Sus scrofa: one gene and its partners. The protein of the gene in region 4 interacts with the protein of the main gene of each other region in a biochemical or structural test. Links are inferred from orthologs where the notes say so. Each region holds a gene or a part of one and is shown on either strand. Other genes may lie near its edges.

Region 1 (3,518 bases), on a different chromosome or scaffold from region 4:
TAGTGGGGGCTGCCCCTGCTGGCTGGGTCACCCTCCTGGCCGCCCTCTTGGAGCTGCAGAACAGGAGGGGAGGGGGATAGTAACCCGGACATAGTATCGAGGCCAGACAGACAGCGCATTGATGGGAACAGACCCCCCTTTGTCATGCTTTTCCCCCCAGACGGGGCACCCAGAGCCATGGACTTCCGGGGCCCATAGGGACTCTTCTCCCTGTCTCCAGGGGGCCCCTTGCTCATCTCAAAGAGTCCCTGCCTGCCATGCCTCAACATTTGCGACTCTGCACACCCTGCCTTAGGTTCCCGGCCAGGGGATTGTTTGGGTGGAGGAGGGGCTGTGGCTGTTGGGGGGGGCGGAAGCGGGGGGTGGGGGAGTGGCCGGCTTTGAATATCCTGTTGACCCCAGTTTCCTCTGCCCCCAGCCTGTGTCCTCTTCCCTCCCTCCTCACCAGCCTTAACTCCTTCCTAACCTGGGGGACAGGGGGCCGGGCTGCCCAGGGGGTGGGGTTGGGGCTGTAGAACCAGGATGACACCTGTCCCCACCGATCAGGTGTAGCCACATCCACATACAAATCTGATGGCTGATTATCTCCTCTTTCTGGTTTCGAAGGTGGGGGGTCCTGGGGAAGCAGGCGGAACCGCCGGCGGGCTGGAGGCTTCCTTGGCGACCTCATTCCCCCAGCCTGGCCGGGAAGTCCCAGCTTTCCTGAGACCGCGTCTCCCCGCCCCAGAGTTGGACTCCTGGCGGCCGCGGTGGGGAGCCTGGCAGGGGCTCCTGGGAGAGAGCCCGAGGCGGGTGGGCGCTCCGGATTCAGGATGGTGACCTGGGTCTCTAACCGCCCTTGCCCTCTTCTCTCTCTAGCCATTGAGACCCAGAGCAGCAGTTCCGAAGAGATAGTGCCCAGCCCTCCCTCGCCGCCCCCCCTCCCCCGCATCTACAAGCCTTGCTTTGTCTGTCAAGACAAATCCTCAGGCTACCACTATGGGGTCAGCGCCTGTGAGGGCTGCAAGGTGAGTCGAGGGGGTCGTGGGGAAGGACAGTCCTGATCCAATAAATGAGATGTTCCCACTGCCATGTCCTGGGACTGTGACGTTGACGGGAGGCGGGTATCCCTGAAGCTGCCACTCTTGCTTGTGTGCGGAAGGTGGCAGCACCCTTGGAGGAGAGGAAGCCTTCAGCGGAACCTCCTTCCCCATGGCGGAGCAGGGGTCCCCCAAGCCAGAGGTTCCGCTCCTGCCTCAGCTCGCTTCCTCCATCCTCCATCCTCCGGCTGGCAGGGCGAACACCCGCCCTGCCACCGCTGCCCAGGTTGCCATGGTGAGCTGGCTGCCGACAGGCTCTTGGCTGGGGACCCAGGAGGCCTGCCTCCAGTGGCCCTGCCTGAACCTCGCCATGACAGCCTGGCAGGAGGCTGTTAGGAGCAGGCGCCTTGCCTTGGCGTCTCCTTCAGATGCCCAGGCTGTGGGCTCCCCAGTGCCTGGCTGGATGTCCCCGTGCACATGATAGGCTCCGGGGTGCAGACATGGCTGCCCCCTTCCCAGCCCCTGTGGGCATGGCCTCTCCTCTACCTGTCCCCAGGGCTTGAGCCTCTGTACCTGTTTCTTCCCCAGAGATCGCGGCTTTGAAGCTGCACAGCCCTGGGGCTTGGGGCCTGGGGCCCAGGGCTGCCCCTCAGTGTGGAGTGGCCAGCTCCGGGTGTGGGGGGGAGATCGAGGGCAAAGCACACAGCCTTGGACTATGTGTGTCCACCTGTCCTGTCTGGCTGGTTGTTCCTGGTCCGCCCTAGTCTGTCAGCCTCTGTTGGCCTGTGTGCCCCCACCCCCGCCTCCTGCCCCCACCAGCCTGGTCTGCCCTCGACCAGTGATCCTTCTGTGTGCATCTGCCTGGTTAACAAACGTGTCCTGCTGCCTTGCTTCTGAGTGCGAGAGTGTCCCCACCTCTCAGGGCCGCCTGCGTGTATCCCTCTGTGGTCCCTTCCTGCTTGCCTTCTCTTCTGTGCTGAGCCCAGGGCTCTGCTTTTGTCCCATCTAACCCCATCTGCCCCTTTTCCTGACTCGCCAACAGCCTGAGGTCTGTCTCCCCAGGAGGGAGGAACCTGGGTCTGTGGGTGGAGGTTGGGGGAAGCCTGCCCCCCCCGCCCCCGCCGCAGTGTTGAGGCAGCAGGTACTGGGATTCTTCAGGGAGTATCCTTGTAGGTGGACCCTTCTCCCCACCTTATCTGGCCTGCTCAGGTAGGTGATGGCCAAAGGCTTGGGGGCAGCAGCCCGCTGGCCCTCTGCCTTCAGACGGAGGCCGCAGGCCAGCGCTGACAGGGAGACCCCTCGTGTTTTGAATCGTGGGTGTGGCTCTGGGTGTGGCTGACCTGCCTCCCTGCCCTCCCTACCCAGGGCTTCTTCCGCCGAAGCATCCAGAAGAACATGGTGTACACGTGTCACCGGGACAAGAACTGCATCATCAACAAGGTGACCCGGAACCGCTGCCAGTACTGCCGGCTGCAGAAGTGCTTTGAAGTGGGCATGTCCAAGGAGTGTGAGTGCCTGGAGGGGGCCGGGCCCCTAAAGCCAGGGGAGCCGGGGGGGGCGTGTGGCTGTGTGTGTGTGTGTGTGTGTGTGTGTGTGTGTGTGTGCGTGTGTGTGGACCCGACCATGCATGGTATGCGGGCCCATGTTGAGGCCGGTTTGTGTATAGCTCCAAGGACCTGTCTGTCTGTCTGGCCCTCTGTGTGTCCATGTGTGGACAGCCCTTCCTGTTGGCCCCTGGCAGGCTGCATGAGCTTGCACACGGGTCTGCATGTGTCTGCTTCCAGGCCCTGGGTGGCTTTGGGGCGGAACCCAGAGGCCTCCGTGAGTCCCTTGGGATTGTGCATCTCAGGGCAGGGGTGCCGCTCAGTGGTGTGTGCAGGGGCTGTGCTGCAGGCACAGGGATCGGAGGGCCGTTGTCTGGTGAAGCCTGGGACCTGGAGTTGGATGAGAGAATTGGGGCTTCTCTGCTCCCAGAGGAACGGGGGTTTCCAGTTCGGGCTCAGCTGAGGCCTGATGGAGGGGGAGAGGGAGGGTTGGACAGGGAGACCCCTCTTGTTTTGAATCATGGGTGTTGCCGTGGTGACCGGTGATTGATGATGTCAGAGATAAATGACGCTGACAGACGCCTCCTTGTCTGCGTGGCCGTTGCCATGGAGCCTGAGCCTTGGGGGATGGGGTGGGGGAGGGGGCTGCAGGACCCTCTAGCCCTTTGTGGGCAGGGCAGTGGAGGAAGGAAGTGGGGAGGGGAGGTGGCGGCGGGCGGGGGGGCTGGACATGAGGTGCCCCAGACAGGAGCAGAGGGACCCTGCAGCACCCTGCCACCTCCTGCCACTGGAGGCAGGGGCGGTGTTGTCCGGAGCCCAGGAAAGTGGCTGCTCGGGCGGGCGCTGCAGAGCAGGTGACAACTTGGAACCTGCAGGCCTGGGACCATTCCCTGCAGGGCCCAGCACCTCCTCCTCCCTCTGCCACTGCCACCTTCCGCTCCCAGAGCTTTTCACT
Region 2 (3,518 bases), on a different chromosome or scaffold from region 4:
GGTGCTGGAACACGGAGGGCGGGAGCATTCACTCTGGGCATGGGGTCAGGCCGGAGTCCGGACGAGGCTGTCGCCCTCTGAGCCGTTCCCTTATTTGGAAAGTGGGCACAGCAGACGTGCCGCGGGGAGGCCGGTTTCTGCTGTGAGGCACAGGTCCTGGGTGCAAGTTCCTGCTGGAGAGAGTGCAGGGACGGGCGAGTTGGGAGGGCCACCCGTCCCGCGGCCCCTCCCTGTGTCCTGGGCCCTGCGGGCTGCACCCAGCTCTGCAGCCGCCTCCAGACCCTTGTGCACCAGGCCTGAGCGGGGAGCCGCAGGGGTGTCAGGCCAGCCCAGCCCAGGGCCGGCCAGGCTCTGGGTGTTCTTGGGGCAGGGGGACAGGTGGCAGCTGGGTCAGAGGAGGCCGGGGCTGGGCAGGCCTGGAGGTGGGGAAGGTGGGAGGGAGAGACCCAGAGTGATGGCGGAGTGGCTGGGACAGATCCGGGTGGGGGGGGGGGGAGCTCGGGGGCTGGTGCTGCCCCTTGCAGAACCCTCCTCTCCCTGGGCCGCTTCCCCGGTGAAACGGGGCTGATGCCTGCCCTGTAGGACGACCCCGTGGTACCGGCTGGCTCTGCCTGGAACCTCTGGGCGCCCGGAGGGGGCGGGGCTGTGACCGTTGCTAGTCGTGTCCCGCGGGAGATGGTGAACGCTGTCCGGTGTACTGGTCCCTGAGACACTTGCGCACAGAATAGGTCTGTCCCCCTGCCTGGTCCTTGCCTCGCCTCTGGGCATGCTGGGCCCGAGAGCTGGAGAGCGGCGGCTTGGCCTTTGGCTCCAGATCGCCTTGTGTCAGCTCAGTGCTTGACCATTTGGTGGCATCCACCATGTGTCCGTCTCTGGGAGTTGGCCTTTGGGCCAGTGGGCGGCAGCTGGCGTGGGGCTGCCGGAGAGGGTCGAGGGAGCTCCCGCGAGCTCCTTGGCACAGCATCTTGGCCCTTGCAGAAGGCGGCTTCCCTGGCACCTGCGTTTGGGAGCCCCTGGGTTAAACTGGCTACAGGACATGTCATGTGCGGGACTTCTCAGGGCCCTTACTGTGCCAGTGTGCCCCAGAGAGGCCTTTCCCAGGCGTCTGTGCTCAGGAACTTCCTTTCTGTGGGACGTTTGCAGGCTCGAGGCTCCCCGGAGCCCATTCTGGGAACCCCGGCCTGGGTTCCCCAAGGAATGGGTCTGAGGTTTGCCTTTGGGGGCAGGGCGGCCTGGGGCCTGGAGACGTGGTGACCGTGTGCCCCCTCCTCCTGCAGGCTGGAACGAGCTGCTCATCGCCTCCTTCTCGCACCGCTCCATAGCCGTGAAGGACGGCATCCTCCTGGCCACCGGGCTGCACGTGCACCGCAACAGCGCCCACAGCGCGGGGGTGGGCGCCATCTTTGACAGGTGGGGGCCCGCCCAGGGCACGGCCCGCTTGGCATCTGTCCTGTTCTCGAAGGTTCTACGTGCGGAAAGGTCCCGGCGCTACCATAAGATTTCCTGGGGCTACCGACAACCACAGTCAGCATCTGGGTTCCCTTCCTTCCTGTCCTTCTGAAAATCCTGCTGCTGTTTTAAAGCAAAGACAGGTTACGCTGTCGCTAGACTTGCCTGGCGGCTGTCACGGTGGACACGTGGGGACTCTTTCGCGCGCTTATGCCTCAGAGCCCACGTGTGTCTGCTCGCTGCCCTGTCCCTGGGCACTAGCTGCCTCTGAGTGCTGCTCTTGGCATATCGCCATTGGGGCGGGGACAGGGGGCCAGTGCGGGTGGCTGGGCGGGCATGTCCGTTCTGGTGGCTCCCAAATCACGGCTCGATGGTGCTGCAGGCGAGGCAGATGGGAGCTGCCCGCTCCTGTGTCTGGCTGGCCTTGCCTATGAGCCCGGAGGACCTGGGTGTCAACTCAGCCAGCCGGAGCGGGAAGCGCTGGAAAGGGGGCGCAGCCCAGGTGTGGCACGTGGAAAGGAGCAGGCCAGGGAGGAGGAGGCAGGAGGGGTCCCAGGCGAGCCCTGAGAACAGGAGCTTTGAAGGGGGAGGGGAGCGAGGCCCCCCCCCCCAGTCACCCCGGGGATACCTGCGGGCACAGGGCTGCCCCGTGGGATGGAGCAGGTGGGACAAAGTGCAGCCCCAGACCGCCCTGCCTGCGCCATGCACCGTGGGCAGGCGCTGGTGTAGACAGACCCCGGGGTGTCTCTGCTACAGGCCGTCGCAGGGCCTTTCACAGCTCGGGTGCAGAAGTGCCACCCAAGGGGGCAGCGGGGGGCAGCATTTGTTCCCCATAGAAGCCACCCCAGAGGGCACGTCCCCAGGATGTTTAGAAATGCAGCCCCTGCCTCACACCAGCTGGCACTTCCATGGTTCCCAGCTGCTGGAGAGGTGACAGTGGTGGGGGTCTGGTCGGCGGCTGATGACAGGAGGGGAACAGAGCCGCCCTGCAGTGGGGAAGGGGCCGGGGACATGGACTCGAGGGCTGTGGTGCCCGGGCTCGGCCTGAGGCTGCGTGCCCGCCTGCAGCCCGGCGGGCCCCTGGGCCGGTGGACCCCTGGGCCGGCGGGCCCCTGGGCCGGTGGACCTTGCCCCCGACGTCCAGGGCTCTGGCTCACCCCGGCTGTCACGAGGTCCCACTTCAGCCCCCAGGTTCCCAGAAACAAATCCCACGCGCAGACCCTCTTGAGTGAGAGGAGAGGAGCCCACCGCCGGGGCGGAACCGGACAGGCGGTGGCTCCCGGGTTCGCCGTGACCGTCTCAGCCGCCCTCCGGGCCCAGACCGGGCTTCCCGGGCCTCCGGGGTTCCGGGGCGAGGGCGCGGTCTGACCCGAAGCCTGCCCCCGCTTCCCCGCAGGGTGCTGACGGAGCTGGTGTCCAAGATGAGGGACATGCAGATGGACAAGACGGAGCTCGGCTGCCTGCGCGCCATCGTCCTCTTCAACCCGGGTGCGCCTCCTCCCCGCCGCCACCCGCCCCCGGGCCAGCCCCGTCCTGCCTGCGCTGCCGCCTCGGCCAGCGGCCCCTCGCCTGGGCCCTGATGGGTTTCTCCCTTGTGATGGGGGCGCAGCCGTGCTGCCCTCTTCTCGAGGCCCGCGTGAGGGTCAGACTGGCTCGGTCAGCCGAGCTCATCCTCCGTGTCCGGGCGAGGCCTCCTGGAGCCCTGGGGGTCTGGGGCTGGGTGGGGACGTCGGGGGCAGGTTCCGGGCTGCCTCGGTGTTCTGGGGGCAGGGGCAGGGGGCTGACCAGGTGGCGAGGAGGAGGGGGCGGCCCCAGGGGTGGAGGGTCCCGACTCCCTGTTCTCCGTCAGCTCCAGCGCTGAGAGGCGGGGCCCGGGTGGCCATGGGGTCCCCTCGGGGGAGAGCCCGTTTCCCCAGGTTTGTGCTCCAGCCGTGACCCTGCCCTGCAGGGCGCTGCCCTGCAGAATCTGCATTGAAGCTTTGTGTGGCTTGGCTGCTGGTTCACCCGATGGGGCCTGGGTGTGGGTGTTCGCCCAAGACAGGAGTTAGCACAGCCCCAGGGCCGGGGGA
Region 3 (3,518 bases), on a different chromosome or scaffold from region 4:
TCCTTAATGATGGGAGAAGATAAAATCAAGTTCAAACACATCACCCCCCTGCAGGAGCAGAGCAAAGAGGTGGCCATTCGCATCTTTCAGGGGTGTCAGTTTCGCTCCGTGGAGGCCGTGCAGGAGATCACAGAGTATGCCAAGAACATCCCTGGGTTTGTAAACCTTGACCTGAATGACCAAGTAACTCTCCTAAAGTATGGCGTCCACGAGATCATTTACACCATGCTGGCCTCCTTGATGAATAAAGACGGGGTCCTCATCTCCGAGGGCCAAGGATTCATGACAAGGGAGTTTCTCAAGAGCCTGAGAAAGCCCTTTGGTGACTTTATGGAGCCCAAGTTCGAGTTTGCTGTGAAGTTCAACGCACTGGAATTAGATGACAGCGACCTGGCGATATTTATAGCTGTCATTATTCTCAGTGGAGGTGAGCTGCTTCTTTGCCTCTTCCATGAAGAGAGTAAGGTGGTGGGGGGCTGGCTAAAAGAATTCTGACCTTCTTTCATGTTAGGCTGCATTCCTTTTCTCTCTGTGTTTACTGCCCTCTTCATATGGAAAATGCTAATGACCTAATCCCATGGGAGTGTCACTACACGTGTGACACACTGAGAAGGAATGTCATGGTCTTGCCGTAACTCCAGCTCTTTTCTTTTATCTTTCCGAACATTTATTCTAGTCCAGTCCAAACGTGGAAGACAGATGCCCTCTTCTCCTTTTTCTTTCTTTTATTCTGGTCTTTTTGCTCTCCTTTCTAGAAGGCCAATCCAATCTTCATTTAAGTGGTGACATACAACTTTGTAAGATGACCCCCACTTGGCCTAGAGAAGGCACGGCTCTGTGTTTGTGGTCAGATTCTGCTCCGGTCCCACCCCACCGTAACGGGTTGTTACTTTGAATTGGTTTCCTGGTATCAGGAATCAAGAAATAACATATCTGCTGACCTCCACCTCCTGTCCCGCATGGAGTCCTCTGATGGCTTCCCTTAAAGTGCCTTTGTGAGGTCGTTGGTGTGATTCAGAGTGTAGGCTGAAGCAATGAACATCCAGCAGGGAAATAAATAGAGTTATTTAGCCATTCATTGTACTTTTGACCTTGCAAGTACATGATCTAACTAACCAACTCTGCAGGCCAGGTTTTATACTAAATGCTACTTTCATTGGCCTCTCACATGTTTCCAGCTTGAGTAGGAGAAAGTTTTACTGTCATCTGTCTATATAAAAATTGTTTTCCAGTGACCGGTTTTCATTACTGTAATGGATGGACTTCAGGTGAGCTTTTTGTGTGCACTCTGCAGAAACCCTCTGTGCATGAAAGCTGATGGTGGGTGGGGGGCAGTGGTCCTAGAGATGTGAGCTGTGTGCCCCTAGGCAGCCTGTTACAAAGATCATGGTCCACTGTGTAGCCCTTTGTTGTCCAGTGACTTGAGAGCAGAATGCTTCCTGAAATCAGGTGCACAGGGTATTAGTCATGATAATAGTGGCAGACACTTAAGTACTTACTGTACACCAGGAAGTATTCTAACCACTGTTTGCACATTCATATAAGTCTCACAACCCCAATGAGATAAATACCGTTTTGCAAGCAAGGAAAGCAAAGCACTGAAAGGTTCAGCCACTTGCCCATGGTTACCCGGCCGGCGAAAGATGGAGCCAGGATGACAGACTGAGCAGTCTGACTCCTGGGTCTGTGCTCATACCACCTGTTACACAACTAGGGTGCAAACAGATAACCACATGGCGCAGGTTAACGCTGAAGCCACAAGCCCTCTTTTGTGTTGTTTGATGTAACAAAAATATACCATCCAACATGTTTTGACATCTTGACATAATGTACTTCTTAAACAAATTAACCCTTGATGCTCTGAGATCTGTGACTAGTTCAGCAAAGAATGATATTCCATTTTATTTGAGGTCCATTGGGAGAAAAATATTAAATTTTGGAAAACTAGATTAGAAGACAAATTGGAACTAACTAGCTAATATTTTGAGGCAATTTAATTTTTAATGAAAAATGGAAATATAATTATTAACGTTTGATATATTTCTAAGACTTTTTCCTAATCATACTACATATACTATGTTTATATTCCTTTTTCATTTAACCATTTTCCCATGTCATTAATACTCTATTAATATTTTATTAATTTTTTAAAATAGGAGTAATACATGGTCATTTTATAATTCAAAGAGTACAGAAAGGTGTAAGTGAAAAGTAAAGCTCTCTGTCCTCAGAATAAAATAGGATTGTAGTTTCCGTTGTGGCTCAGTGGGTTTTGAACCCAGCTAGTATCCATGAGGATGTAGCTTTGATCCCTGGCCTCACTCAGTGGGTTAAGAATCCAGTGTTGCCATGAGCTGTGGTTTAGATCACAGATGTGGCTCAGATCTGGTGTTGCTGTGGCTGTGGTGTAGGCGGTAGCTGCAGCTCTCATTTAACCTCTAGCCTGGGAACTTTTGTACGTGCAGTTCTAAAAAACCAAAAAAAGAAAAAGAAAAAGAATAAAATAGGATTAACAAAGTCCTATTTCTCCTACCAAAAACTTCTGTGTGTGTGCTAGCATATGGATATATAGATATATAGTACCATTTTTAATGACTGTAAAGTAATTCCTTTTTATAACAAGCCGTTACATACTCAATTATCTCCCAATTTGTGTTTAAGTTGCGTATAATTTGTTATAAAAACCTATAGAGAAGAGTATAAAAGATGATGGAAAATGTGTTCTAAATTTCACTGCAGTGATTCTTCTTAGGTGTAATATTTCTGTTAACATTTCAGATTATTTTCTCAAACTTTGAATTACTGGTAGTGGAATTGCTGGGTAAATAGCTATGAGCATTTTTAAGACTTTTGCTTCATTATTACCAGATTGTTTCTCCATAAAGTTTGTACTAATTTATATTCCTACCCCAGATACTGAAGGAGGCATTTGAAATAAGCAATTCAAAGAGGCTTACTTTCAGGAGTTTCCTGACAGCCTAACCGTTTACAACTCAGCATTGTCATTGCTGTGGCTCTGGTTACTGCTGTGGTGCAGTTTCAATCCCTGGCCCAGGAACTTTGAGTCCCATGGGCACAGTCAAAAAAAAGAAAAAATGGCGTAACTCAGAGATACCGTGAGTTTGTTTCCAGGCTACCACAGTAAAACAAATATTGCAATAAAAAAAAAAAAATGCTTAGTTTTTATCTAGGAAAGGCCTAGACAAGAAACAGTCTTGATAGTACAGGGTTTTTGGAGCTGAGCAATGCTGTTTTATGGACACATAAGACAACAGTGTGATTTCATCTAGAAAAATGCCATTTACTGCCCATAAGCTAGATTATTTAAAAATCAGTGAGGCCTTCAGTTAGGCCTTTAAAATTTTTATTAATTGGTCAAAAATAGTCCTGTGACAAAGTTGATTCAATTTAGTAGATGTTGCAAGGTTTAGGCTTTCAATTATGAAAATTAAAAATGATATCTGGGGAGTTCCTGACATGGCTCAGCGGTAACAAACCTGACTAGTATCCATGAGGAT
Region 4 (3,518 bases):
AAAAGTAAATAAAAGGCCTTGACTCATCTGGATTATTCTACGAGGGGTGGTAGTCGGAGATTACCAAAGAGAGATCAAAGAGACACCATCATCACAGAATCAAGTAACAGGTATTTTTAAGAACAGATCAAATGAAATGTGGAACTCTGGAATGAGAGACTAACACAGAACCAACCCCCTCACCCCCCCCCCCAAAATCAGCAAAAGGCTGTAAGTCTGACTGATAAACTGACTGATGACAAAGTTTTGGGGAAAATTCTTAAGAACTTATTCCACATTTCAATATCAACATCACAAAGACTAAAGTTTGAAAGTGCCATATTTCAAGAAATAAAGGTGATAATGAGAATGACAAAGAATACTTTTGGTTTAGAACCAATATTTTCTAAGCTGGTTTCAAGCTGTCAGCTGTAATTCGCATTTCCCTTCACCACATAATAAACCTTCGAATATACATGCGGATAAAATCTTCCTAATTGCCTCTTTCACTCCCTGACAGACTTGAACTTTGGAAATAATACGCTACCAATGATAGTATCTTGATCTTGGTTGCTGATAAGCTATTTGGTTTAGTGTTACTCTCACATTGCTATTATTATTCTTCCTTCTCACCTCATTGAATTCGGCACAGTTTTGAAAGATCAATCTAAAATCAGCTACAAAATCTTCAGGCTTTGTATACATGGAATAATCTTCCTGTAGTCTTTTCTTGATGGTTGACAAGTCCATTGGGTTTTTAATTATTTTATAATAATCAGGCACCTTTCAAAAGAAATGAGATGCTGTAATAAATAACTAAATTCTACCTGGTCCTAAATAAATTCTATAAGAAGTAGCATAAAATTCTTATTTTTCTCACTGCTTTTCTCTGTTCTATTTTGTCATTGACAAGGCAATCTATTCAACAAAATTTACAAATGCCTACAGGCTTCCACACACTGATAAATGTTTTGTGTCGCTTTCATCAAAAATTCTCCCCAGGAGTTCCCATGGTGCCTCAGCGGTAATGAACCCAACTAGTATCCACAAGGATGCAGCCTCACTCAGTGAGATAAGGATTTGGTGGTGGTGTGATTGTCGCTGGCAGCTACAGCTCTGACCCCCGGCCTGGGAACTTACCTATGTCATGGGTGTGGCTGTAAAAAGACCAAAAAGAAAAAAGAAAAGAAAACAAAACAAAACAAAAAACCAAAACAACAACCCCGAAAACCCCACCCAAATTTTTTATTAGTTATTCCTTTTTATTTATTTATTTTTTTTGTCTTTTTGCCATTTCTTGGGCCGCTCCTGTGGCATATGGAAATTCCCAGGCGAGGGGTCTAATTGGAGCTGTAGCCGCCAGCCTAAGCCAGAGCCACAGCAATGAAGGATCCGAGCTGCGTCTGCGACCTACACCACAGCTCACAGCAACGCCGAATCGTTAACCCACTGAGCAAGGGCAGGGACCGAACCCGCACCTCATGGTTCCTAGTCGGATTCGTTATCCACTGCGCCACGACGGGAACTCCTATGAGTTATTTCTAATGAAAAAAACTTACCGCATTTCCCTCTTATTATTCTTCATCATTATTAAACAAAAAGCAATCACTAGAAAAAGCATTACTTCTAGTAAGATTTGACATGTTCTTGTTCCAAGTGTTCAGCAAGTGAGCTTTCTGAACCCCAGCTCTGCTACTCAATAGGGTACGACTTAATGAGTTACTTCATGTCACTGAAACTGTTCCTTCATATTTCAAATAGGACTAATTCCACCAGTCCCACAGGATGATGTATAGACTGAGATGATATATATTAAGAAAAAAGGGGGCTACTTTGCTGTTGCTGTTATTAATACCAAATGTTAACTGTAAGCTAACACCATAAAGAGCGCCAAACCTTAGGTTAAATTTTTAAGTGAATAAAGTTTTACTGACCTACTTTTGCCCTGCCTGTTTTGAGTACAACAGGCCCTTCCCCCTAAAAACGACTTACAGTGGAGCCTCGAACTCTGCAGGCACATGTATGCATTGATTTTTTTTCACTAAACTCACACTATAGCACTACCTGATCCATGGTGGGCTGATTCTGCAAACGGAAAGGCCCGGATGCAAGGTTACATGCCGCTTTCTAATCATGCAGAGCTGGTGCCCCAACCTCCTCACTGTTCTAATTAAGAGTTAACTGTATTGATTTTTCCTATCTCAAGTTCTCAAAACTTGTTTTCAAGAAATTTTAATTTTGCATAAAATTTTTAAAATTTATTGAACTGTACATCTATTAATTTTTAAAAGGAATTTCAGACATCAGAGAATAGAACAACACATTTTGAGTAGCAGGCCCTTACTAGCACCATTATAATGAGACTATGCATTAAAGTCACATCAAACTTCAACTACGAAGCCTTTTGAAGTCAATGGTAAACACATACACACACACACACACAAATACACCTCTCTTCTTCTACTGTTAAAAGTCTAGGAGTTCCCATCGTGGCACAGTGGTTAACGAATCCGACTAGGAACCATGAGGTTGCGGGTTCGATCCCTGGCCTTGCTCAGTGGGTTAACGATCCGGCGTTGCCGTGAGCTGTGATGCAGGCTGCAGATGCGGCTCGGATCCCGAATTGCTGTGGCTCTGGCATAGGCTGGCGGCTACAGCTCCGATTAGACCCCTAGCCTGGGAACCTCCATATGCCGCGGGAGCGGCCCAAGAAAAGGCAAAAAGACCAAAAAAAAAAAAAAAAAAAAAGTCTATTTATTGCTTGAAGTTTGGACCTATAAACTCAAATGTGTACAGAGAACTTTGAGGCAGGGGATCTTTATCTGAAATACAAAGTTTTTTTTCCCAACAGCTTAGGACATGTATGTAAAACTCCTGAGACAGAAACGATAGAAAGCATCCCAGAGAATAGCAGGTAAAATACATGAGATGAAAAGAAAGATTATATGAGAAACGAAGTTTTGAGCCACTTTGTTAACATTAAAATGTATTTAAGATCAAAGCATTCAGTATCTATTAATAAGCTTTACAGTTTGGATTAATGTAAGAAACTTACTACTGAAACAGAAACTAGATTTTCAAATCAAATTTCAGAAAAATCACCCCACTGTGCAAAAATGCACAAAATGACATTAATACTTACAGTTAGAGGAACTGGGTCTTGAAAAGCCAGGCTCATTTCATGGCAGTAAAGAAACAGAAGTAGACGTTCACACTTCTAAGCAACAAAAAGAAAGAAAGAAAATGAAAATACAATGAGATAATGAAGTCACAACTAAATTTTTGTTGTTACAGGTCAAAATACCTGAATAAAAATTAAAACTAGATGAATGTAAGAAAAATACTGATACTTGGAGCTGTGGTGTCGTCTCCTTTTTTATGGAGGCCTTATACCTATTTTCCTTTGGTTAGTGAATTTTCATAACATCCTACTTCATTATGTGATTTTAGTGGAATTAAACTTGTTATTTGAATTATTATCAATTTCACTTTTTTTGTCTTTCTGTTTATTTATTATTTTTTTGCTTTTTAGGGCTGTG

Evidence for each region.
Region 1: the proteins of TRIM24 (region 4) and RARA form a complex in vitro, tested with the Homo sapiens proteins (3 studies listed by BioGRID). The link is inferred for Sus scrofa from reciprocal best matches to the Homo sapiens genes TRIM24 and RARA.
Region 2: the proteins of TRIM24 (region 4) and RXRA form a complex in vitro, tested with the Homo sapiens proteins (3 studies listed by BioGRID). The link is inferred for Sus scrofa from reciprocal best matches to the Homo sapiens genes TRIM24 and RXRA.
Region 3: the proteins of TRIM24 (region 4) and PPARG interact in a test that uses a peptide from one of them, tested with the Homo sapiens proteins (2 studies listed by BioGRID). The link is inferred for Sus scrofa from reciprocal best matches to the Homo sapiens genes TRIM24 and PPARG.

What each region holds. Positions count from the first base shown.
Region 1 is NC_010454.4:22,054,756-22,058,273, reverse strand, and holds part of RARA (retinoic acid receptor alpha), read left to right. Parts: intron 1-858; coding exon 859-1,007; intron 1,008-2,384; coding exon 2,385-2,526; intron 2,527-3,518. UniProt on the Homo sapiens protein: Receptor for retinoic acid. Retinoic acid receptors bind as heterodimers to their target response elements in response to their ligands, all-trans or 9-cis retinoic acid, and regulate gene expression in various biological processes.
Region 2 is NC_010443.5:273,787,907-273,791,424, forward strand, and holds part of RXRA (retinoic acid receptor RXR-alpha), read left to right. Parts: intron 1-1,277; coding exon 1,278-1,410; intron 1,411-2,845; coding exon 2,846-2,937; intron 2,938-3,518. UniProt on the Homo sapiens protein: Receptor for retinoic acid that acts as a transcription factor.
Region 3 is NC_010455.5:68,415,987-68,419,504, forward strand, and holds part of PPARG (peroxisome proliferator-activated receptor gamma), read left to right. Parts: coding exon 1-427; intron 428-3,518. UniProt on the Homo sapiens protein: Nuclear receptor that binds peroxisome proliferators such as hypolipidemic drugs and fatty acids.
Region 4 is NC_010460.4:11,057,670-11,061,187, forward strand, and holds part of TRIM24 (transcription intermediary factor 1-alpha), read right to left. Parts: intron 3,197-3,518; coding exon 3,122-3,196; intron 763-3,121; coding exon 613-762; intron 1-612. UniProt on the Homo sapiens protein: Transcriptional coactivator that interacts with numerous nuclear receptors and coactivators and modulates the transcription of target genes.